Linked DNA regions of Rattus norvegicus. The protein of the gene in region 3 purifies or fractionates together with the protein of the main gene of each other region. This does not show direct contact. Links are inferred from orthologs where the notes say so. Each region holds a gene or a part of one and is shown on either strand. Other genes may lie near its edges.

Evidence for each region.
Region 1: the proteins of Bag3 (region 3) and Pdlim7 purify together in Homo sapiens (affinity purification with mass spectrometry; 3 studies listed by BioGRID and IntAct, counting the BioPlex papers as one, with this or other methods). This does not show direct contact. The link is inferred for Rattus norvegicus from reciprocal best matches to the Homo sapiens genes BAG3 and PDLIM7.
Region 2: the proteins of Bag3 (region 3) and Dnajb6 purify together in Homo sapiens (co-immunoprecipitation; 3 studies listed by BioGRID and IntAct, with this or other methods). This does not show direct contact. The link is inferred for Rattus norvegicus from reciprocal best matches to the Homo sapiens genes BAG3 and DNAJB6.

The regions. Positions count from the first base shown.
Region 1 is NC_086035.1:9,130,195-9,138,057, reverse strand, and holds part of Pdlim7 (PDZ and LIM domain protein 7), read right to left. Parts: intron 7,680-7,863; exon of another isoform or gene 7,553-7,679; intron 7,243-7,552; 5' UTR 7,232-7,242; coding exon 7,136-7,231; intron 3,785-7,135; coding exon 3,633-3,784; intron 3,550-3,632; coding exon 3,519-3,549; intron 3,085-3,518; coding exon 2,966-3,084; intron 2,605-2,965; coding exon of another isoform or gene 2,584-2,604; intron 2,335-2,583; coding exon 2,198-2,334; intron 2,077-2,197; coding exon 2,040-2,076; intron 1,855-2,039; coding exon of another isoform or gene 1,758-1,854; exon of another isoform or gene 1,502-1,757; intron 1,091-1,501; coding exon 1,029-1,090; intron 884-1,028; coding exon 649-883; intron 1-648. UniProt on the Homo sapiens protein: May function as a scaffold on which the coordinated assembly of proteins can occur. May play a role as an adapter that, via its PDZ domain, localizes LIM-binding proteins to actin filaments of both skeletal muscle and nonmuscle tissues.
Region 2 is NC_086022.1:6,217,068-6,224,930, reverse strand, and holds part of Dnajb6 (dnaJ homolog subfamily B member 6), read left to right. Parts: intron 1-2,225; exon of another isoform or gene 2,226-2,282; intron 2,283-4,187; 5' UTR 4,188-4,213; coding exon 4,214-4,278; intron 4,279-6,120; coding exon 6,121-6,230; intron 6,231-7,570; coding exon 7,571-7,633; intron 7,634-7,863. UniProt on the Homo sapiens protein: Has a stimulatory effect on the ATPase activity of HSP70 in a dose-dependent and time-dependent manner and hence acts as a co-chaperone of HSP70. Plays an indispensable role in the organization of KRT8/KRT18 filaments.
Region 3 is NC_086019.1:192,530,179-192,538,565, forward strand, and holds the start of Bag3 (BAG family molecular chaperone regulator 3), read left to right. Parts: upstream 1-3,281; 5' UTR 3,282-3,382; coding exon 3,383-3,568; intron 3,569-8,387. UniProt on the Homo sapiens protein: Co-chaperone and adapter protein that connects different classes of molecular chaperones including heat shock proteins 70 (HSP70s), e.g. HSPA1A/HSP70 or HSPA8/HSC70, and small heat shock proteins (sHSPs), e.g. HSPB8.

The DNA.
Region 1 (7,863 bases), on a different chromosome or scaffold from region 3:
GGACAGGACCAACAACTAGGAAGGCTCTGGAATCTGACTCTGAGGGGGCTGTGTGACTTGGCTGGGTTCCAGTAAGCAGTGTACAGAGGGAGGTACGTGTGGCCTATCGGTTCTGAGAGCAGAGGCTCGGCAGAGAGCAAGCCCGAGGAGGAAGCAGCAGAGAGGGAGGCCCTTCTTTATTCAGAGAGCCGGCGAAGCGACAGACACTGCTTCAGGGTGCTGCTAGCACCTTCATGCTTCCCCTGCTACAGCCGGGTGTGAGCGTGGTGGGAAGTGCAAGATTAAGAACCTGAGGATTGGGGGCTGCAGAGATGGTTCAGCAGCTGAGAGCACTGGCTGCTCTTCTGCAGGACTCAGGTTTGATTCCCAGCACCCACACGAAGGCTCACAGCCATCTAAATGCCATCTGATTCCAGGGGAATCCAACCCCCTGCTCAGTGTCTGTGGGCACCAGGCATGCAAGTGGTGCACAGACACACATCCAACTGAAACACCCACATACAAAACCACGAAAATTTAAAAAGATCTGAGGATCCAGACCAAATCCTTAACTCTCTTAGAGCAGCAGCAAAGGTAGGATAGGTACATGAGACACGACAGGGTCAGGTTACAGGGCAGGAAAGATCAGCATTAGAAAGGAATACTCACCGGATGATCTTGTGGCACTGGTGGCATACAGGCGTCTTGCCATTGTTGCTGCCTCCTCCTGTGCCCCCTCCAGCTGCAGCCTGAACTATGGAGGTGCGGTTCTGCAGAGGCGTAGGTGTGGCTGGCTGGCTGTGTCGGGTCAGCACTGTGCTGGTTTTGTCTGGGGCATAGCGCTCAGCAAATGCAGGATCTACGGCCCAGGGTGGGCGGCTGGTGGGGCTGGGGGTGGTGGGGCCTGACAGCCAAAGAAAGTAGATCCAGAGGGGTACTCAGGAAGCCCAAAGGGCAGAGGGTAGAACCCAGGGTAGCCTTAAAAGCCCACCACCCCTATGTCCATGGAGGCTACCCACCCTTCTTCAGCCCCAAGCCCAGTGTCTTACCAGGCCAGGATTCCTGGGGTATGGTTGAGGCTGGGGCTGGGGCTTCTGTCCTGGGCACCTGGCTGTAAGATCTGCCATTCAAGGCCCTGCCTGGCTGAGGCTTTGGGCATGGTCCCACCCCCTAAGTTCAGCTGTGCTGCCCCCTTGGGTGATGCTTAAATGCATCAAGAACTGCTGGGATGTATTCTAGGTCCCTCTGGGCTAGAGGTAGGAAGGGGTGCTCCCCCCTATGAAGGGTACAGCTATCTGGGCTGCTGTGTAGAGTGTGGAAGCAGAGTGTGCTCCTTCTCCTAGGGCAAGCCTTGGGTCTCCTTATCCAGGAGAACCATGGGTAAGGCAGAGCCACCCTGCATCTTGGTTAGGTACTCCCTCCCACCAAGAAGCAGGCTGCAGGACCCATACCAAGTCTAAACCATTTAGCATCCCAAACCCAAAACATAACCAGACCCAAAAGATGGGAGACAGAGGCAAAGGAAGCAGGACTGAGAATGTTTATTCCCACGCTCAAGGCAGCGCAGACCTGGCAGACAGCAGTACCACAGGGCCAAGAAGGAAGGCAGTGTCAGACGAAGCCAGGCCCTGTGCCAGACGGGCTGCCGGGACCAGGCCAGCAGGAGGTTCAGGCCAGGGCTGTGAAAGCAGTAGGTGAGAGCTGGAGGCACCCGTGGGGTGCCCTGGGAGGGAGTAAGAGAGAAGAAAGCAGAGGGCAGCAGGCTGAGCAGGGCCAGGCTAGGACTGCACGTTGAGCACGTGGGCAGAGCGCTGGTGGTGCCAGTCCCGGAGACGTGTATAGCGTGGGCTCTGTAGCTCCAGGACATACTTTTCCCTGAGGGGCAGAGAGAGAGAGAGAGGAGGAGGAAGTGAAAGGAAGGAGAGACGGAAGGGAGGAAGGAGGGAAGGAAATGAGGAAGGGACAGAAGAGAGCTCTGGCAGGGGATGGCCAGGAGTAGACAAGGACTGGTGGCCGGAAAGGAAGAATCGGGAGGTTAGGGAAAGCGCCCAAGCTTTTACCTTGACTTCTTCATGAATTCCTCATCCGGGTCTTGCACTGAGAGGACAGAGGCAGGCATTGACCAAGAGAAATGAAGGCTACCCCAGCCTTGAGTCCTGGCAAGGTCAGGCCCAGGCTAAGACCAGGAGAGTCCGCCCAGACCCAGGCCAGCACTTACTGAACTCTGTGCCCGTGAGGTGAGCAAGGATGCGGAAGGAACGGGACTGGCCTGTCCCTGGCCGCGGGCGCCAGTCTTCAGTATTCTCCATCAGCCGCTGCTTGCTGGCATCAGGGACCAGCTGTCTGAGCAGCTGTCTATGGAAGGGTAGAGCTCAGAACCCCTGGTTCTGTGGGCACCAGGGGCTGCCCCTCCCAGGATGTGATGTGCATGGGTTACGGTGACAGCTGAGAGGCGGGGTGGGGGTGGGGGAAGAAGGGGGGTAAGGCAAAGGGCTTGGCTGGGTGGGTGGGTAAATCAGAGTGGGCAGGAGGACAGGCAGGGCAGGGAGGCGCCACCACCCAGAGTGCCAAAAGGGAGAAAAGTGACAGGAAGAGGGGGCTCACTGACTTGTCAGGGGTCTGCACCTGCGAAGGAAATAGACAGATAGACAAATAAAGGGACAGACACAGGAGAAGAAAGACGGGTGGGGGGAAATCAGAGCAGTGGACAGGGAGGCAAGGTAGCAATGAGTGTGTGAGACTTGGCAGGTCCAACACCACACCCCAACCCCAGGCTGCCCAGGAGGGCAGAGCCTGTGGAAGAGCATCAGCCTTGGGCAGGGCTCTCTTCCTGAAGCCCCACCCAGCTGCCAGGGATTGCTGCCACACGGTTAAGGGGCTGGGGTCCGGCACAGACTGAGCAGTAGCGGGCAGCTTGTGTGTGCGCTTGCGAAAGGACTAGACCTGTGCACAAGAGGCAGGAGTGAGTGGGCAGGGGCTGACATACCCATTCTGCGACAGGGCGCTGTCAGTAGGTGGGGGTGCCCCGAAGGGCCGGGCCGTCTTGTTGAGGGAGGCGCTTGGTGCAAAAGTGTACCTCGGGGGGTCGGCGGGAGGGGTCAGGGCCTGGGCAGAGACAGAGCCGGGCAGGGTGGGTGGGAGTGGGGGCCAAGGTGGGAGCGGAGTTGTCACCACCACCAAGAACAGTGACAGGTCCGGCCCCACTCTTACACATCTGGCCAGAGGCTAAGATGAAGGGGTGACTGTGAATTCAAGGGGCCCATTTGGAAGTGATGAATTCAACCCACTCTGGGTCAGGGGGACCGAGGGCGGGTAGGCGCACACAGCACAGGCTTATGGGAAGAAGCAGGCAGACAGACAGGCAGGCACGTGAGGAGCCCGGACCGTGCGGCAGCTCCTAGCTCCACTCTCCCGTTCCCCAGACCCTGCCTGTTCTGGCATCTGCCCTCTGTTCTTAGCCAAGGCTGGGCCACGGAGAGCAGGCCAGCCCAATCCAAGTCCCTCCCTTTCTCAGCCAGGGTATCTCTGGTATAACCTACCTTCTGTGGTTTGCTCTGAGCAGGCTGGGCTCTGGAGAAGGAGAGAAAAGTGGTCATGGCCTGTAAGTGAGACCAGAGGCTGTGCTCACCCCTTGGGCCTATCAGCACCTGTACCTGCTAAGACCCAGGCTGAGGCGCTCCCCACAGGCACGGATCTTGTTCTGGGCTTCAATGTGTGTGAGGCTTCCGGCGTTCTCACCGTCGATACTCAGTACCCAGTCTCCCACGGCCACACCGGCCTGTGCGGCCTTGCCTCCAGGAGTGAGCTGTGGAAAGGAATGGTCAGAGGCCCAGGGGTGCACACCCAAGCTGCACAAGCTCCCTCACGGTCCAGACACTGCTGATAAACAGCCACCTTCAGGCTAGAGCCCATACCTGCAGGCTAGGACCACAGCCTTGACAGCTGTGTTTTCTGAGGTCTCTCTAGAGGCTGTTTGACCCACCAGATTGCCCTCCCCAGACAGCCACCTACCTGTGTTGCTGAAACTGGGCTATGAAGGCCTAACAGGGTTGATTGGGGTCACCTATATCCTGTGAAGTGTCCCATCTCCTATCTGGGAACTGCTACCGCTCCCCACCCCCACATCAAGGCCAACCCCTGATCCCCACCCCACACCCTTTCGCTCGCAGGGCTCCACATTCCTTTATTTTTATCTTAATTTTTTACTTTTGGTGACCAAGGCTCACTGCTTACCAGCAATCAGCCAGTTCTGGTGGCCGTCATTCCACCAGGCCTACTATGTTCCCCTATTTGCCACACGAACCAGAAATTCCCAACTCAAAGCCAAAAGGATTGGGGGCATGGTGGTTCTCCACAGGTCTGAAACCGCAGGGCCACTGGACCATCTGGTACCACGCAGAGCATTTACACTTAGCAGGTAGTAGGAGAAGCAGGGCGTAGGACGCCCAAGGGCCCAGGAGGCTCCTCGGGTGAGCTAATCAATGTGTACTGAAGCAGACAGACAGAAGACGAGAGGTTCTAGAGGTGCCAGGGACAGAGGGACCTCCCGCAGAGACTGCCAACTCTAGGACAGAAGGGGGAGCTGGACTCGACAGCTTTATTTTGTGCCTGAAGGGGAGGTTAGCAGAGGAGAGAGCTGGTGAGTCAGAGCCCTCTTTACCTGCTAGCACACGGTAAGAATAGCAACTCACAGAACACCTAGGACTGACGTAACATCTTCCAACACACTTGCAGGGGATCTAGGGATACACCCTGCTCACGCTCAGAAAAAAAAAAAACCAAAAACCAGACCTGCCAAACACCTGAACCCAGTCACCCAGCCAGCAAGAGGTGCAGCCAGGATTTGGTCCTGACTGGGAGGCTCCACTACAATAGGGCACAAGAGAGGGGTCAAGCGCACCCAATCACGATGCTGGGATAGCTAGCTGTGGTGGCATACACCCAGCACTGCGGAGGCAGAAGCAGAGGCAGGTGGATTTCTGTGAGTTGGAAGCCAGCCTGGTCTGCATAGTGAATTCCAGAACAGCCAAGACTACACAGAGAGACCCTGCCTCAAAAACTAATAAAACTAGTTAATTAAATCAAATTCGGGGGAAGAAAAAAAAAAAGACTCTGGGGTGCCAGGCAAGGTATACTTGTAATGCCAACACTGGCAGGCTAGGCAGAAGGACTGACAGCTCAAGGGTAGACAGTGTCCGAAAAGACACCCCCTCATTCCATGGCTAAGTTTGGGGTCTGCATGCACCCTCTCACCTTTATTTCACTGCGACCAGCCCCTTATAATGGGGACAGGGAAGTGACACTCTAAAGGGGAAATGACTTAGTCACAGGCTTGGTGAGTCACCAATGGAAACCTGGTTTAGCCACTCCTTCCTACTTCCTGAGAGACGTGGGGCAAGACCAAGGTGGGGGTCCTGTGAGGAGGAGCGACAGGCTCCCTGTAAAGGAACTATCTCTTTTATGGGGTGCACAGGGCAGAAGCATGTGAGGGGTAAGCCGTCCGTCAGAGTTGGAGAGAGGAGCACCATGGGGAGGACCATTTTGGAAAAGAGAGGTTAGTGAGATTAAGGAGGGGAAAAGCCAGGGGGCTGGACAGTATTATGGGTGTGGGTGAGTCAGCCTGGGAGCTCCACTGAGCAGCCCAACCCCCAAATCCCAGACATTACCTCATCTTCCAGGCCTGGGCCCTCAGCCAGCCCTAGCCCCTCCTTCCTCCCTCCACTCTGGGGTCAGGGGAGGGATAGCGGGCTGGTCCAATTTAGAAAAGACCACCCCACCCATCAGGGCCTAACTCACTCCAGGGCAGGGCTCAGTGGGCGGCCCCACCCACATGTTAAGGCCTCTGACAAAGGAGCCCAGGGGCCAGCAGGGGCCAGAGTACCCCCAAACCAGCAACATCTGCAAGGCCTTCATGACCAGTGAAGAAACTGAGACCTACAGCACACTGGCCAGCACTTTCCCAGAGGGGAAATGTAGGCTGAATGTGTGGGGGAAGGGTCCACAGCCCTTAGTCATCCTGCTGGTTGGAGCAGATTCCAAGGCAATTCCAGAGAAGTATCCTGGGAAGAACACAGCCAGCATGCATGCCTGCCCGCCCTGACCACCATGTCTGGCTCCCAGAGAGAAACAGCCTTGATACCCCTTTCAGGCTGAGTAGTGCCTGGAAATTCTCAGGCCCATTTGGGCTGGGCTTGCCCTGGGCAACAGCTGCCTGCCAACAGCCTACACTGTGGCTGGGTGGGCCTCTCTAGGCAAGCGGATGTCAGGGCAGGAAGTCCCTGCCCCCCTTTTCATCCCCCAGGCTAGTTGTAGATACCAAGCTAGAAGGCTGGCTTCACCCACTCTGGGCACAAAGTTTGCTCTGAGTCCTACTGACACCAATGACGGAGGGCCAGGTGAGGGGCCTAGACCTAGGCCAATCCTTTTGGGCTTTCTTGACTAGCCAATACTGGCCATCCCAGCTGGGGCTGCATTCTTGGGCTTATAAGGCAATCCCCCCTGCCACAGGGAGGAGTCAGCTCCCAGCTCCACCCTCCCCACCAGGGTGGACTGAGGAATGGGACCGAGAATCCTACAGGCCCGCCTTGCTACACCTCTGCTCAGGGTCAAAGGTCACGACAGCCCGCTACACCAGCTGACTGAGACTCAGCCCTCAAACAGGGTGGCGGCAAGAGTTCCCTGTCCTTACACATACAGAGAGTACAAGCCGTCCGTTTTGTGCCTCAGTTCAAACCCTTGCTCTGCTGTGGACCTGCTGAACGTGCTCCTCCACACCTCCAAATTCTATCACTTGGTGAAACATGACAACTGCTATCCCTTGAATAGCAGTGAAATTAAAGTTACATCCAGCTGGGGACCTGGCTCCACTCGCTGCTCTTCCAACTAAGACACTTCTCGGAGTCATCAGTCTCCAGTACTGAAGGGATCTCCCCCTTGGCACTCATAGGTGGGCGGCCACGGGTGGAATAGCATCAAATACCATGCCAAAGTGGGGAAACTGGGAGCACCCTGTTGGGAGTCTCTGTAGTGTCTGTTTGGATCTGGGCACTCCTGTCCTTTTGGTCCTAGCTTGCTCCTGTGGTTTCCCACCATGATCTGCTCGAAACCTGAGCACCCAAGAACCCTTAGGGAGTTTGTTCCCCCATCCAAGGCTCACCCGAGAGATGGAGAGGGGCACGTTGAAGTCCTTGCCCCCTTGCAGACGGAAGCCCCAAGGGGCAGGTCCCTCCAGCACTACCTTGAAGGAATCCATGGTACCTGCTCCTGTGAGGAAAGAAGAGAAAAGTGTCTGCACTGCAAATTGGCAGGCAGGTCCAGATCTGGGCACTAGTGTTGGCCAGGTACCAAGAAGGCACGGGCGGACGCTAAGCACACACAGGCACTGGGAGGCAGGTATCTCGTCTGGCTTGGCTGGGCTCCTGGCAGGCCGACCTCTAGCAGACAACAGGCAAGTTGGTTCCCCACCCTGCCCGCTGCCACTGGGAGGGTGAGAAGAGTCCTCATCAAGCTCAATTTCTTTTCTCTTCCAGGGGTTGGCTGTAGGGTTAATTGGCACTGCTTTGCCCAAGCTAACCTGGAATCTCAGGAGGGCGGCGGGGTGAGTCAGGGGCCAGCTCCCCCTCCTTCCCCGGGTCCCGGCAGGCAGGCCGCCGCTGGAGCCTGCTCGGACTATATAAGGCGTGTAAGCTGACACTGTGGAGAGCCCGAGGAGGGAGCACTTTAGGGGCTTGGGATATGAGGGGGAGGGGTGGGGAAGGAGGACGCTGGAGCAGGTCCTAGCCATTTTGGGACAGGTCGGGGCTGCTGGTGGCCAGGGCGGGACCCCTGGGCTCTGCAAGGGGAAAAGAAAAACTGGGGTACTGGCCCTGTGGAGAGCGACGGGGG
Region 2 (7,863 bases), on a different chromosome or scaffold from region 3:
AGCAACTTATGTAAAGTTTGAACACCTTAGATTTAGTGTCTGTTTTTGTTCTCTCTCCTTATCCCTCCATACCCATACTAGTTTGTTAGGGTTATGTGGGGATTTCCGTTTGGAACTGTCTTGTAGCCCAGGTTGTTCTCGAACTCCTGATCCTGGCAGTAATCTTCTCTGTTTGGATATTTTGCCTTCATGTGGATATGTGCACTATGTGCTTGACAGGTGTCCAAGGAAATCAGAAGAGGGTGTTGAGTCCTATTGGAATTGGAATTGCAGACAGTTGCGAGCTGCCCTGTAGGTGCTCTGAACCACCCTGGTCCTATAGAAGTGTAACTGTGCTCTTAACTACTGATATTCCCCACCCCCACCCCCCAAGGCAAAATCTCACTATGACTGGTCTGGAACTATGCTTGGCTTCGGTGTGTGTGTGTGTGTGTGTGTGTGTGTGTGTGTTTGTGTGTGTTTGGACATTCTCATTAGAAGTGGGAGATTATAATGAATAGCCATAGGGAAAGGTTTCACACTGCTACTGCTAGTTGAATTATATAAGACAGATGCTTCTGGCAGCAGTTTGATCTTGGATAAACTAAAAAAGCTTCAGACTAAGTATAACTAATACATTGGAGCTGGGTAGCTGAGGTCTGTAATATAATCCACTCAGGAGTCTGAGGCAGGAGGACTGCCAGATACAAGGTCAACCTGAATAATTTAGGGAGACCATGCTTCAAAAAGGCCTGGGTCAGCTAGGACTGTATCTTATTGAGTGCTGCCTGGCATACTTGGTAGCCAAGTAAAATGACTACCACCACTAAATGAGAGAATTGAAGGAACTTTTTTTCTTCTTTGTAGCCCTGGATGTCCTGGAACTCAGGCTCTAGACCTGGCTGGCCTAGAACTTGAGATCCACATACCTCTGTCTCCTGCATGCTGAGATTAAAGTAGTTTGCCTTCATGCACAGCTGAACTTTGGTATTGGTAAATACCTAGTGCACTGGGTATGGGCTTCTGGTGGGTGTTCTGGGTTCAAATAGAGTAAAGCATGTTTCCCGTTAATGTCGAGTGTATATTTGGATAGTGGATAACATTTTAGTATTTTACTTATTTGGTGTAGCTAGTCTAAATTAATCCTAAGTGGATAAGCAATTTGTGTTCACATTGTATATAATAGTCTATAGTATTAGTAGTTGTCTTTAATATGAATTGTGAGTATCTGTAGGGTTAATTATGAGTACTTGTTTGAAGTGCATCTTGGCAGACACTATCATCAATGTATTATCTTGTAGAATTGGACCAACCAGGTAGGTCCTTGAGCTTTCATTTCCACTCCAGTGACCATCTGTTCTCTGTAATTGATCTTCCCTCTTCATTTCTGTTTGTTTACACGTGCTGGTTATTTATCTTTGTAGTTCATTGTTGGCCTCATCTTTCCTTTTTCTTTCTTTCTTTTTTTTTTTTTTATCTTCGTTCAGGTTTGATTGCTTGTAATCATCTCAGTAGAAGCACTGTCAACTGGGTCTCCTTCCCCCATACTTAGGGGTGCCTTTCTCATGTTGGCATTCCTGTATTAAGGAGTGAAAACGGGAAGAGTCAAAGTTTGGTTTTTAGTGATAGCAGGAAAGGCCACACTTAGATGAAAAATGGACTAAGGTTATATAGGTAATCACTTTATAATAATCAAAGCTGTAGGTCCTTCTGCCCCCAGATACAAGCTTGCAATATATATCATGTGCAAACATGTCTGCTTGTCTAGACTTGTGCATTGTGCTTTACTACTGAACCATATCCACTGTAGATGGTACTAATACAAAAAAGTGCTAAAATAAGGGCAGAAAAGAAAATCCAGCCTTTATTATTTTTGAGATAGTCTAAAGTAGCATTAGGTGGGTCTGGAGTTGGCTGAGACAGGCTCTTGTTTTCTGAGACAGGGTCACATGTGTTTCCTGTTGCCTACAAATTGGGGTCACACTAGTGGCCTAAATTCCTGATCCTTCTACCACACCCAGCTTGAGGTTAGTTGAGATAGTTCCTAAACTTTGTTTGGTGATCTGTAGCTTATTTTATAGCTCCTTCCCTCTGGTACCTGACACTAGTTAATACAACACGTGATTGTTGTCTTAATATTTCCTAGTTAGCTTAGTCCCTTGTGGCTGTTATTGCCTAGGTATTACACTTTTTGAGTCTCTGTCTTCATTGAAAAGAGGATGACCCAAAGGCTTTTTTTTCTGCAGGAGTAAGGGCTGAGGACCATGCTGAAGATGTTTTGAAAGAGTTATTTTCTTTATGTGGTAGGTATAACAACATAGAATTTACTAGAGAAAGACATGTTGGTTGGAGTGGGGAGACTCAATAGTTAAGTTTTGGTTATGTTCTATTTGAAACAGCATGCTCACTATCCAAGTGGCTATTTTGTGCAGTCTTGTGTCTATTTACTGGGTTAGGCTTTCATTTGGGACTCAGGGTGTTATATAATGGGCAGTAGATGTTGAGATGAGTGAGGCTTTGAGCACATTTGAGGAAATTCATCATAGAATGCAGATCTGAGAAGACTGGAAAAGATTTGGGAAGTCAGAAGAGCCCTTAAATGTATGGGGGAAGGGTTAGGAATTCCTGAGCTTAAATCAGGTGATTTCAGATGATGAGGTAGGACAGAAGTAGAAACTTGGGAGTGAGTCAGGCTGTGGAGAAAGAAATACATTGGACTTAAATTAGTCTATTTCAAGGGGTTTGGTGGTTGAGAGGTTGGCAGCTCTCAAAGTGTCTCGAGTTCTCCAAATGAATTAACTCAAGGGGTACTCTTCATTTAAGAAGGCCAGCATTCAAGTGTTGGCTGAATATCAACTGCCAGTTGGTGCTGTGTACCCCACTGCCTTGAAGTCAGGATTCATGGCTGGTTCATTTGGCTCTCCTGTCAGCTCTAGTTTTTGCATCACTCATAATAGAAACATGGACATTGGTGGAAATATTAGACCACCTCGGAGGAGAAGGAGAAGAGGGCATGTGCTTTGACTCTTACTAGCACTTCACAGTAGCTGTTGTTTCACTTTGTAAGGCTCACATATTTGCAGTCAGAAACAGTCTTGGGATTTATTGTTCTCTAAGAGTGGATTAGTACAACAATGTTTGCCTTGTCTGTGTTGGGTCCTGCAGTTATTAGCATTGGTTTTTAAAATGCTGCTTTAGACAGATCCTTTGTAGCCCAACTTTTATCATTTAATGGAGTAGAGAGGAAGAGGTGTTGTTTTTTTTCCCTGGTGTTGATGACCAAACTTAGGGCCTTACATGTACTCACAGGCTCTCTACCATTGAACATATCTCCAGTCTTTATTTTGGTATTATTTGCTATTTTTGTTTTTGAGACAAGCACCATTGTGCAGCCAGGTGGGGCATAAAGTCTGAAAGGGTAGGATAATGGTTGTTTGTTATCAAGGTGGTATTTGATGTTGTAAAAGATTGTGCTTTTCCATTTTGCTTGTAAGACCCTTTTCAAAGTTCATGGTCCTTTTCTTCCGAAGGTGAGTGGCAGTTTTTCTTGTTTTCCTTCTGAGGATGGTAGCCTTTGAGGAATCACATTTCCTGTAGGGCTCTCAGTAGTAGCTTTCCTGTGCCTGAAGGCTAATGTAGGTTGAAAACCCCAGACCTTGTGGACTGGTGCTCAGGCTGCTATTGTGTTAGGATTGTAAACTCCCTGGTGCTTTCCAGTAACTGAGCTGTGCCTCCTTCCTGTTTTGTCTGCCTTCCCTCAGTTTATATCATATAATATATAATTTTATATACGTATTTAGTTTTTGAGACAGGATTTCTCTGTGCAACAGAGCCCCCTGGCTGTCCTGTACTTGATTTGTAGACTGGTCTGACCTCTAATACACAGAGATTCTCCTTCCTCTGCCTCCCTAGTGCTAGGATCATAGGTGTGCACCATCACACCTGGCTGTCCTGAACTCACTCTGTAGACCAGGCTGGCATAGAAATCAGATGTGCCTGCGATTTGCATCTCTGGCACTGCAATTAAAGGTGTGTCTCACCATATGGATGGGAAATGATTCTTGAACCCAGTTTTTGGACAAAGGTCCTGCCTAAGATACAGGCTAGTGACTGGGTCAGTAGGTGCAGAGGAGGAACTGACTCTTATTCATTCTCTCATTTTTCACTGATTAAGCAGTGTTATCATGGGTGTATTTTTTTATTTGCAGGATTTGTTCCAACAGTCTGTTAAAACATGGTGGATTACTATGAAGTGCTGGGCGTGCAGAGACATGCCTCACCTGAGGACATTAAAAAGGCGTACGTAATTCTATTTCTGAGATGATGTTCTATACCATGGTTCGTTGGTAATTCGATAATGTAAAAATTAGGTTTATTCATTTTATGTGTGAATGTTTTGCTGGCCTGAATGTATGTGTGTATGCTCAGTGTTTAAGGAGGTCAGAAGACAGTATATGATCCCCTAGAACTGACTTTGTGGATAGTTGCAAACCACCATATGGGTGCTGGGAATCAAACTTTGGATCTCAGTAAGAGCAAGTGCTCTCAAACCCTGAACAAGGCAGCCATCCTGTACTGGGATCTAATCTAGGTCCTATGGTTTAATTTTAAATGTTTAAGTTCTAATATTTCTCAGACTAGGGGATCTTTGGGCATTCTTTCTAATTGGTGATCTTTAGGTTGAAAGACCGAACAACTCTTAAAAAAATGAAGTAGATGATTCTTAGGAGGTTAAGCTGGCTTTCATACTCATACACACTGTACACGCATACATACATACATATATATATATATATATACACACACACACACACACACACACACACACACACACACACGTACCCCAAAAACCTGACAAATTATACCATGTCCCAAAAAAGAAATGTTAAAATTGCCCTGTGTGCTAGAGGTCCTAGGTTCCATCTGGAGTTCCTCGTACTATCTATATTTACTTTGTGATACCTCCTTCTCTCCCTGGTGTTTCCTGAATTCCAACCTAGGCTTGTTGTCTCCACTGAACTATATCTGTAGCTCTTCACCATTATCTTTTAAAATGTTGGTGTATGCTGGGTGATGTTAATCCCAGTACTCAGAGTAGGCAGATCTCAGTGACTTTGGGACCAGCCTATTCTACAAAGTGAGTCCCAGACAGCCAGGACTCTGTTACACAGAGGGTTGGTGTGTCATCAGGGACATAACCAGTTGAGGTTTAGTGTTCTAGTTTATTTCTGATGCTGTGATGAACTACCCAAAAGAAACAGAAAAGGGTTTACTTCATGATAGAGGTCACATAGTCATCACTGTGGAGAAGTCATGGCAGACGCTTCAAACAGCTAGTTCGATTATATCTACTATAGTTCAGATAAATGAGTGTGTAGATGGCTGTGTTCTTGCTTGTTCTCAGCTTGCTTTCTTTGCAGTGTAGGGGTGCTGTCTACTGAACGGTGCTGTACCTAATCCACATCAGCTTCCTTGAGACCATTCTCCAAGTAATTCTATATTCTAGCCACAAAAGTTGACATTTCAATCTTGTTTAAGCATTAAATCTAGAACAGGTGGCTATTTAAAAGATATTAGGAGTCCAGATTGTGCTGTGGGAGATGTTCTTCCTTTATATTGATGATGAGTGGAGGATTGAATGGCTGGGGAAAAAATAGAAATACGAGGGAATTTATTTACATTGTATCTGTTCTGCTCAGTGGACAGGGAGTTGTCTACATTTTGTACACGCTTAGCCTGATCACCAGAGCCTGTAATTTGAATACTTGGATCATCCAACATGCAAGTTTTCAAACTAATTATTCTTGCCAGTTCTTGTGCAAGTATCTGAAATTAGAACTTGCTTATTTCATTCGCAGGAAAAAGGGGGCTTTACTGCTAAGATATTCTTATACCTAATGGTATAGTTATTTTCTGTTTAAGGGTAGGGTGTTTTTTCTTTTTCTTTTTTCTTTTTCCTTTTTTGAGACAGGATTTTTACAGTGTGCATGGCTGGCCTGGAGCTCAGTATGTAGACCAGGCTAGTCTTAACTCATAGACCCATTGCTGGAATTAAAGGTGTGCTACTACCATGGCTAGCTGCTTATATTAAAGTTCTATGGACTTCAGTGTACTCAGTATACACCTTTTTCATCTTTCAAGGTATCGAAAACAGGCACTCAAATGGCACCCAGACAAAAATCCTGAAAATAAAGAAGAAGCGGAGCGGAAATTCAAACAAGTAGCTGAGGCATATGAAGTGTTATCGGATGGTAAGTAAGCCTGAGCGGGAAGGGCTCTGAGAGGGTGCATCAGAACAGGACTTCTAAGAGAGCACAGACACAAAATTTGTTTGCTCCCAGCTAAACTGCTTCCCCTTCCCAAAGGTTTTTATTTTTTTGTGGACTTTGTATCTGGTACATCTAACCATGGGTCCTGAGGAGCTATGGGCCATGCATGAGCTGTAGACGTTGTTCTGCTGCAGGGATTGTTAATGGGGTTTTAATACTTGCACAAGGAAGGGGTGCTCCGATTTATTTAGACTTTGACACAAACACACACTTTGACACATACATACACACATACACATCCCACTTTAGATCTAGAGCATAGACATTAGATGCCTCTGAAGGTTGTTTGCAGTTGGGTGAAGGGTTAGCTGTCAGCTAGGGGCACCCATCACATTTGTGGTTAAGGAAAGATTTTGCATCTAAAAGGCTGGGACTAGTGCCAGAGATGTGAAAAGTACTGCCTATATCCTAAGCACTATCCTGCTGGGTGGCCTGGCACGAGTCAAGGCAGAGGCATTTAAAAGGTTAGGTACTAATTGACTGATTATAGGAAATAATAGGTCACCATCTTAAAAAAAATCTTTTTCTAGAAGGAACCTGACCTAAAATGCAATGAGCCAGCTTATTGGCATACAACTCCTTGCATTATCAATACTCTAATATGTAACCTTTCCAGTTTTAAAGGCAACCCACGAAACTTCACAAGTATCAATTTTTTTCCCCACTTAATGAAGACATTGATAACTGAAATCCTGCAAATGTGGCAAGGTCTTAATACTGTTGGGGCTTTGAGCTCTAGTGACTGGAGCCTGGACATCAGAGCTTATGTTACTGTTCTTACAAGGGCTCTTCTTACTCAAGATGGGGTTGTTCTTCACTTTGTTTCCCCTGTTGTAGAATAGCATAAGATTTTTGGGGGAAGACAGAAGGATGTGGCAGCTGTGTTGTGTGGCTATCCCAGAAGCACAAAGGCAGCAAGCAGGGCTTGGGCAACCAGCATAGCACCTATGAACCAAGTGAGTGAGTGGTCAGCTCAGCAGAACCTGAGCCTGAGCCTGAGACTGAGCCGTGCAATGTAGCACAAGCCTGGCTTCTTTTATGGTATATGCTTATCCACTGTGCATTCTACCCAGTGTTTAACATCCATTCGCTGGACTTTGTAGTAAGCATCTGTAGCTGTTACAAGTAAGTTTGCCAATTCAGGAGACCTGCCTCCTTTTAAAGTCAAGGGTCTTCTAAATGGATGTAGATTTAAAATGGGAAATACTGACTGAATGTTGGAAAGAACTTAACCATACTGATTGTTTTTCTCAAATTTAAAGCTAAAAAGCGGGACATCTATGACAAATATGGCAAAGAAGGATTAAATGGTGGTGGAGGAGGAGGTATGTCAATTTTCTTTTTGGAGACAAAAGGGCTTGACAAATTACTTGTGTAACTGAACTGTGTTCAGTTCTTAAACGATTTGTTCTTGATAGTCAATAGGGATTAGTCTTGAAAGTGGTGAGTGAGTTTCTTCTTCCTGCTTCCTCTTGTTTTCCCTTGCCCCTTTGTCACTTCTCTCTCCATTCCCCTCCCCGCTTCTCTCCATGTACTCATGGCTGGCCTCTCCTCC
Region 3 (8,387 bases):
GTCTCTCCCTTGCTAGGTCTGGCCTGACTTGGGCTCCTAGGAACAACACAGAGACTAGGCTGAGCTATCCGATGGTTTCAAAGAAAACAGTAGGCAAATCCGGAAGGTGAGTTGCTGGGATGGCCTATTAGATCCTGGGGTTTGGATCCAGGGGCTGGGGAGAATGACCCTCAGGGGATTGGTTCATTGGATTCAGGAGGTCTTGGAAGAAAGGTTGGCCTTGAACAAAGTGGTTTCTGTCACTGAGGCTAGTCCCTGAAGACGTGGTCTACAGGATGGTGAGCACTTTACTAAACATTTCTAAGCCCATTTCCTCATCCACACAGATTTTAATAAAAATTTCTAGCTCGTTGGGTGTGGTGGTACAGAACTTTAATCCCGTCACTCAAGAGGCAGGGGCAGTCGGATCTCACTGGGTTTGAGGACAGCATGGTCTGTGTATCACATTCTAGAACAGCCGGGGCTACATAGAGAGACTCTATCTCAAAACAGCAATGACAACAAAAAGTCTGTTCTTTTGGCACTGTTGACAGAGGAATGTGACAGGTCCTCAGTGTTTCTCCAGCATTCTCGACAGTGGGTAGAACCCACTTCTCGTGCGTAGGAGATCAAAGCAGCATATCATAGCTTCCACCACAAAGATCAAATGTCCACCGAGCCCATGTAAAGTAAAAAACATAGCACCTGACAGTGATTCCCCAATAAGCACTACCCATCACGACTGTTGTTTTTAATAATTATTATTTACCACACACTGTGCCGGAGGATAGGGACACAGTGGTGATCAAGATCCTGCTCCTGCTCTCAAAAACTCAGCCCATTAAGTAAATCAAACAAACAAGCATTTACAGTGTAAAGCAATTGGTAGGGTGGGACAGGATGTGGATGGTCACAGGACTAGTGTGGGGGAGGGAGCAGTGGTGGGAGGGGGTACGTGTGAAGGAGAGTGTGCCAAAGGCAATTCTGGGAAAAGCCAAGCTGCCCAGAAGATGGTGGTTGGAGCAGACAGAGGGGTTTCCTCCTTGGTGGAGGAAGCAGTGTGTGCAAGACACACAGTTCAGCAGGGTCAGCTTAAGTGTGTACCAGGGAAAGCGAGGAAGACTCCTTTGTGCACCAGACCAAGGAGAGTGGACTTGGTGGGTGCATGAAAAGGCCTCTCTGGTTGCCTTATGGGGAAGAGGTTTAGAGACAAGCTCAAAGGCTGGGAACCCATTAGGAGGCTGTGCAAGGATCAGACGAGAGGGTAGGATGGCCTGGACAGGTTGGTGGGACTGAACAAAGACAAGAGTCACAGAGTCAAACCATACTTAGGAAGATACAAAAGGATGGTAGGAATGAAGGGGCAACTCAAGGACAAAGAGGGGGTGCTAGAGAGATGATTTAAGAGCATTTGCTACTCTTACAGAGGACCAGGAAGTTCCTACAAGGAAGCTCTAAATATCTTAACTACAGTTTCAGGGCATCCAATACGCTCGTCAAACCTCTGCAGGCATTGCACACACATAGTGTACATACATACAAGCAGTCTCACACATGTCAAATAATTCTTTCTTTTAAAAAAAAAAGGACATAGTTGTGCACATAGGTGTGCATGGTTGTGCACACCTTTAATCTTGGTACTTGGGAGGCAGAAATATATAGATAGATGGTATCTTTAAAAAGTAAAATAAAATCACAGCTGGGCAGTGGTGGCACACCCCCTTGATCCCAGTACTTGGGAGGCAGAGAGAGGTGGATCTCTGTGAGTTCAAGGTCAGCCTGGTCTACATAGCTAGCTAGTTCTAGAACAGCTAGAGCTACACAAAGAAACCTTGTCTTGAAAAACAAACAAAATTTTTTTGTTTCACTTTGTATTCAGTCTTCAAAAAATATCAATATTTCTTTATTGAAGATGGACTCTGGACCTGGACCTAGCCGTGTGCTGGGTGGGTTCAGGTATAAAGAAGCAAAAGACAGACGCTGGTCAGTGAATGAATCTAAGAGTCCAGACCTTTCAATGTGACTATCAAATGATAAGCCCACATTCGGGCTTACACAGATGTGTTTGGTGACGCCAGTCAGTCCCTGAAGGCTAGCTATGTTAATATTTATACCGAAGCTTTGAGACTTTAGAGTCAGTAAGAAGGTCTTTGGAAGTTTAAAAAAAAAAAAATCAGCTCTTTGACGATGTCTGGCAGAGTATTTGCTACAGAATAAAAATCTGAGGGGACGAGGCCAGAGATGGTATCTTTGAAGGTCCCAGGATATTCTCTGAATCTGCGTTGGGAAATTGGGCTCAGTATTAGTTCCAGGAGGTTCTGAAGTGAGGGAATGAGTTTGCACGCTAAGAACCTGAGCTGGATCCCCCGAACATTCTCTCTCTGGAGGGCACTGGGAACCAGATGGGTAATGGGATTAGAAGTCGATTGTCACTTACACAAACAAAATTGCAGGGTGTGGTGTGATCCTTATTTTCCAAATCAGAGTCCACCTTTATCATTAAAAACAAAACCAAACAAACCCCAGGGATTATAAATTTTAAGGCTAGTCACTATGCGAATGTGTCTATATCATAGAGTAAGCCAAGAGCACAAAGCTGTCCTATCAGTCCTTAGTTCTTCAGTTTCCCAAAGCAGGCAGGTGAGTTTCCACAGTACTTTCTTTTTGTTGTGACGTCAGATCAGCATTCCAGAACTCCTAGGGAGAAGTCCTAAGGCCCTTGAGAAAAAGTTATTAAAAACGTCACTGCAGGACGCCAGCGTCACTGAATATTAGCGTACTTGGGAGTGGGGAAGATCTAGACTTTCCGAGTTTAAAGATGATTTAGTCCTTACGCAGAGGTGGGGCCCTAGGCGTCAGCCCTTGGACTGCCAGCCCCGGGACACCCCACGCGGCAACGAATAAGTGTTGAGGAGTCCAGAGACCGAAACTAGCCAAGGATCACAAGGACACCGGTGCGCGTCCACCGGGCGCGAGGCGCACAGGCCCCGGGACGCACTCAGGACAGGGGTAGGGAGGGACAGCCAGAGAAGACTAGAAGGAGGGACGGGTGACAAATCCCCGCCTCCAATCCCTCCCACGGTCCCGCCCCGCCGCGATTATAGCCGATGACTCAGGGCGGAGTTCCGCATCCAACCCACGGCGGCCGCCAAGTTCTCTGGATGGGACCAGAAGTTTCTAGCCGGCCAGTTGCTGCCTTCTCTTTATCTCCTCCTTCCCCTTTGGCAGCTAGGAGGCTATTTCCAGACACTTCCACCCCTCTTCGGCCACGTCACCCAGTCCTTTAATTCATAAAGGTGCCCGCACCGGCTTCCCGGACACATCGGCTACACAGAGGTGCCCGCACTCCACGACCTCGTGACCCGCGCCCTAGCTCTGCGCCCCGGGCGGACCCCAACTAAGCATGAGCGCCGCCACCCAGTCGCCGGTGATGCAGATGGCGTCCGGCAACGGAGCCAGCGACCGAGACCCCCTGCCCCCGGGCTGGGAGATCAAGATCGACCCGCAGACCGGCTGGCCCTTCTTCGTGGACCACAACAGCCGCACCACGACGTGGAACGACCCGCGTGTGCCCCCCGAGGGCCCTAAGGTGAGTGGAACTAGACGTCCCACCTCGACGGTGAAGGGGCCTGGTCGAGCCAGGGCTACGCGAGTCACTTCACTCGGCGCCCTGCTGCGCCAGGAGAGTCCCTAACCGTACCGGCCCTGGACCGGCGTCGGGCCCCGGAGAACCTTGGGCGGGGTGGCCTTGGAGGGTAGCCAGCGAGGTGCGACCCGCTCGGTGACATCGGGTGGTTTTCCACAGCCTCTTGCGAGGGGCGAAGGGCAGGTGGTGGCCTGAGCTGCGGTGCGCCGGGTCCTATGGAAGGGCGACGGGCCTGATGAGCGGCTGAGGCCCAGGCCAGGCTCCGCCGCGACTGTCTGGTCCGGTACTGAGACCCTCGGCTCCCTCCGGTGCTGGTGGCGCACGGCCAGGTTTGCAAGGCTGCTGAGTGGAGTCCTGTGTGGATTTCGCCTTCAAGTTCAGAACTTAGTTGAGGGTTATCCTGACTTTATTGGATCTTAGGCATAGAGTGACTCAGGAGGAGGCTCGAGTAAGTAACTTATTTTCCTCCACTAAACTTATTACTGGTTGAAACTGCTTTCAGTTAGAGGTATTCTGATACTACTCCTTTTTTTTTTAAATAAAGATATTGTTTCTGGCAGTTTCAAAACTAGAGAATCAGATATTATATCCATACTTAGCCGTTGGCTTAAGACATTGCCTCACACTGGAGAGAAAGAGAATGTATTTTTAATGGCGTGATTCCTTGTTATTGTAGTTTTCAAATACTGGAGATTGTTGCCAGAAGCAGCTGAGGAGTCTTGTGAACAGCAGGTGTATGCTTCATTTACATATATATTCAGGCTTGTGTGCCTCAGTGTCAAGAGCAAAAAAATTTGAAAATACAAATTTGGAAATAAGCCTGACCTGGTTCAGGCTTGTCATCCCAGCACCCAGGAGGCTGAGGCGGGAGGATCTTGAGTTCAAGTCTAGCTTAGGCTATATAACCAGAATCTATCCTAAAAGTTATTTAGTAATTAAATTTGGAATGAAACTAGCCTGTGTTGTGAAATAAGACCCTCCCATCTTAAAAAAAAAATCAATTAAATTTTGAAAAGAGCTAAAAACACAAACTTAGGTAAGATTTTTGTTTGTTTGTTTTAGTTTTCGAGACAGGGTTTCTCTGTGTAGTGTTGGCTATCCTGGAACTCACTCTGACCAAGCTGTCCTGGAACTCACAGAGATCCTCCTGCCTCTGCCTCCTGAGGCATGAGCCACCGCCACCTGACTAGGTAGGATCTTTGAAAATAATAAAATTAACAGAAGTCATATTTAGTATACCGTTCAGTAATGATTTATGTAAATTTGGTCTTTTCAAAATGAAAAGTTTTGAAAAATAAGTACACTTTTTAAAAGACTCTAACCTGGCCCTGACCTGGTGGTGCACAGCTTTAATCCCAGCACTGGGAGGCAGAGGCAGGTGGATCTCTTGAGTTCAAGTCCAGCCTGGTCTATAGAAAAACATTGCCTCAAACAAAACAAAACAAAACCAAACAAGAAGAAATACAAACTTACTGCTTTCTGGAAAAAAATAAAAGCAGTAAAGAGTTTATTTATTATTTGGTATTTTAAAAAACTCACCCAATTAAAAATGCTTTATAAATCATTATCTTACAAAAAATCTAGTTTGGTTTTTATGTGTATGGTGATAGGGACTGAACCCAGGGCCTTGAGAACTTCAGTCAAGCATTTTCCTTACAACTATTGCTACAACTTTACTATCCAGCAGTGAGCCACATACTTGGCAGTTTACATTTACAAGAAATTAATTGTATATTTCTGGAAATTATTACTATAAGAGGCTATAATTTGGGATGGACATAATTTCGTGTATCTCTGTGCGTGTGCACGTGTGTGTGTGCATGTGTGTGTGCATGTGTGTGTGTGTGTGTGTGTGTGTGTGTGTCCGTTTCATCCATTATTGGGTAAAAGGTTCTCTTGAAACTAGCCGTCTTCAGACTGCATGGGGAGTAGAAGCCCCCCAGTGTGTATTTTGAGGCCTCCTTCCTATAGCTACAGGCAGGATCTCAACCCTCTGGCACCCTTCGTTGGGAGTGAAGATCAAGTTTGAGCACATCATGCTACTGCTTAGCCAATGTGTCAGGATTTGCTGTAGACACTAGGTGGATGCTTTAGGCTGGATTTTCATAAATCTGTGTGAGATAAAAAAACAAACAAAAGAAATTAACTTTCTGCTCTTATGAAGCAGAGAGTGCAAAACGTTAAATCAGATGTTTTGGGCTTGAAAAAAAATGAAAGTTTCATCATTATAGTTTTAAACTTGAAAGGTCCTTAACAGTGTCCCCCTCCCTTCTGCATAAGGAAACGCAGAGAATTCACGTGTGTTTCTGAAGGTCACCCGCCAACCCCAATAGAGAGAGAGGGGCAAGTGGACGGACCAGTTAGAAGAGGCTGAGTTTGTTCAGAAGTGGCTTGAATTTGTATGAAACCGAAGTGTGCTGACCTCTGTGCTGTGCTAGTCTGAGTTTTGATGGTTGTGACTAACTCGGGAGAAGGGTTTCCTTTACCAGATTAATTACTTGAGATAAACTTGCCAGCTTGGTACAGAAACCCAACAAGAAAATGAGCATTTCAGTGGAAGAATCAAAGCCTCAAGCTGTTGGTTGCTTTGAGTCTGGACTTCGCTGCTTTTAAACCCATGCGTTGGCTGTCACAAAACATCCATGTGACTGGGGCTGTTTCCCTTACTGCAGGCTACCAACTTGGAAGACCTTTAATATTTTTGGATGTTTGTTTGTTTGTTTGTTTGTTGGGACAAGATTTCTCTGTGTAGCTGTAGCTATCCAGGAACTCACTCTGTAGACCAGGCTGGCCTTGAACTGTGCCTTCCGAGTGCTGGGATTAAAGGCGTCTGTCACCACTGCCTGGTGACCTTTAATAGTTTATATTAGAAATAGTCTTCTTTCTTCCCTTTCTTTCTTCCTTTCTCTCTCTCTCTCTCTTTCTTTCTTTCTTTCTTTCTTTCTTTCTTTCTTTCCTTCCTTCCTTCCTTCCTTCCTTCCTTCCTTCTTTCTTTCCTTCCTTCTTTCTTTCTTTCTTTATTTCGAGCTAGGGACTCAACCCAGGGCCTTGTGCTTGCTAGGCAAGTGCTCTACCACTGAGCTAAATCCCCAACCTTCTTTATTTTTATGTCTATGTATGCCCGTGTGTACTTAGGGCCCACAAGGGTGTTAGATTCCCAGGAGCTGGAGTTATAGGGGGCTGTGAGCCAACTTGTGAATGTTGGAACTTGAACTCACTCAACTTTGGAGAACCAAAAGCACTCCCAAATGCTGAGCTATCTCTCTAGTCCCTGAAATAGGTCTTTTGAAGCATAAGGAGAAAGCCTCTGCCTAAAACAAAGGCCTTTCTGGGAGGAACTAAGAGACCCTCAGATTATCCCCCATTGCCTAGGAGATGCTGTCAGTCAATAAAGAGCCCTTGGCTGAGTTGGGAAGTCTGAGAAGGCATCTGGATGTTTACAGTCAGAACTGACAAAGAGGACCCCTTCTCGGAAAGAGGAAAATCACCAACCCTTTGTGTTGTATTCAGTCCTAAACTCTCCGAGTTGACTTTAGTTTTCTCTCACGTGATTATAGCAAATCTCCTACCACTGTTTTTATGGCAAACAAGTGGCCCTTATTGTCCCTTAGCCTGTCCCAACTGGAGGCAATGATGTCCTCATGCAGACACCTCTGCAAGCAGCCATGCTATGCCTCCATCTGATTTTTCTCCACACTTGGCCTTTCTACCAATCAGGGAGGTCCATACCAACTGAGATCCCTCCTGTAGAGAGGTCAGTGTTCACTGTGGAGTCTGGAGATGCATGAGCCCTTGCAGCCCCTTCCCAGTGTATCTCTTCCATGAATAAACAGGTCAGGTACTCCAGAGTGCTGGTTCCTTACGAGGCAGACGGTCCTGGAACAGAGCTCCTCACCTCTGTGGATCTGGGGACTCACCATCCTGGCAGTCCTCAGGGTTTTGGTTTTTAATTCAGTTCAATTTTGTGTCTATGCACTCATCATAGCATATATGTAGAGTTGAGGGGACATCTTGGCAGGAGTGTCTACCATGTGGATTTTTGGGCAAAATATGGTCATCAGAGGTAGTGGTAGGTGTCCTAACCCACTAAGCCATTTTGAATGCCCTCTAGGGGAACCTTTGAAGAATATACACTGAGGGGCTGGCGAGGCAGCTCGACAGTTAATTACACTTGCTGCTCTTGTAGGGGACCTGAGCTCACCTCCCAGCACCCAAGTCAGGCGGCTCACCCCAGTGCCAGGGAACCTGAGGCACGGACATGTGTGGATACTCGCACATAAAATAAACATAATAAATCTTTAAAAGAGTGTACATTGTAGTTACTTGACCCATTCTGTTCCCACTTCATGTTAAATCGAATTGTCTAGAAGGAGACCCAGAAATATATAAGTTCAGGGGTCTTTCTGGTGATTTTGGTTTAGCCACATGGGCCTTGAAAGCCACAGTGGCCCTTGATCCCATTTGGCGCACAGGGAGCCTCCTGCTTCACATCTGGCCTGTCAACACCCTCAAGGTGCCTGCCTGCTGGAGCTGAACTGGGTGTGGTATGCCTAGGGAGCCTAGATACCCTGTGCACAGTGGCAGCGTGAGGAGACTGCCCTCCACCCCAGGCTGGAGCCTTTCCCTTTTGTCTTCCAGCATCTCACAACCACTTTGTTCTTAATTCTGTGAGGAGAACTGTCCTTTTCACAGAAAATTGGAGATTTTTTGAGTTATGATTGAAGTGGAAAGACCCATTTATTCTGCTTCAGACCCAGCAGAG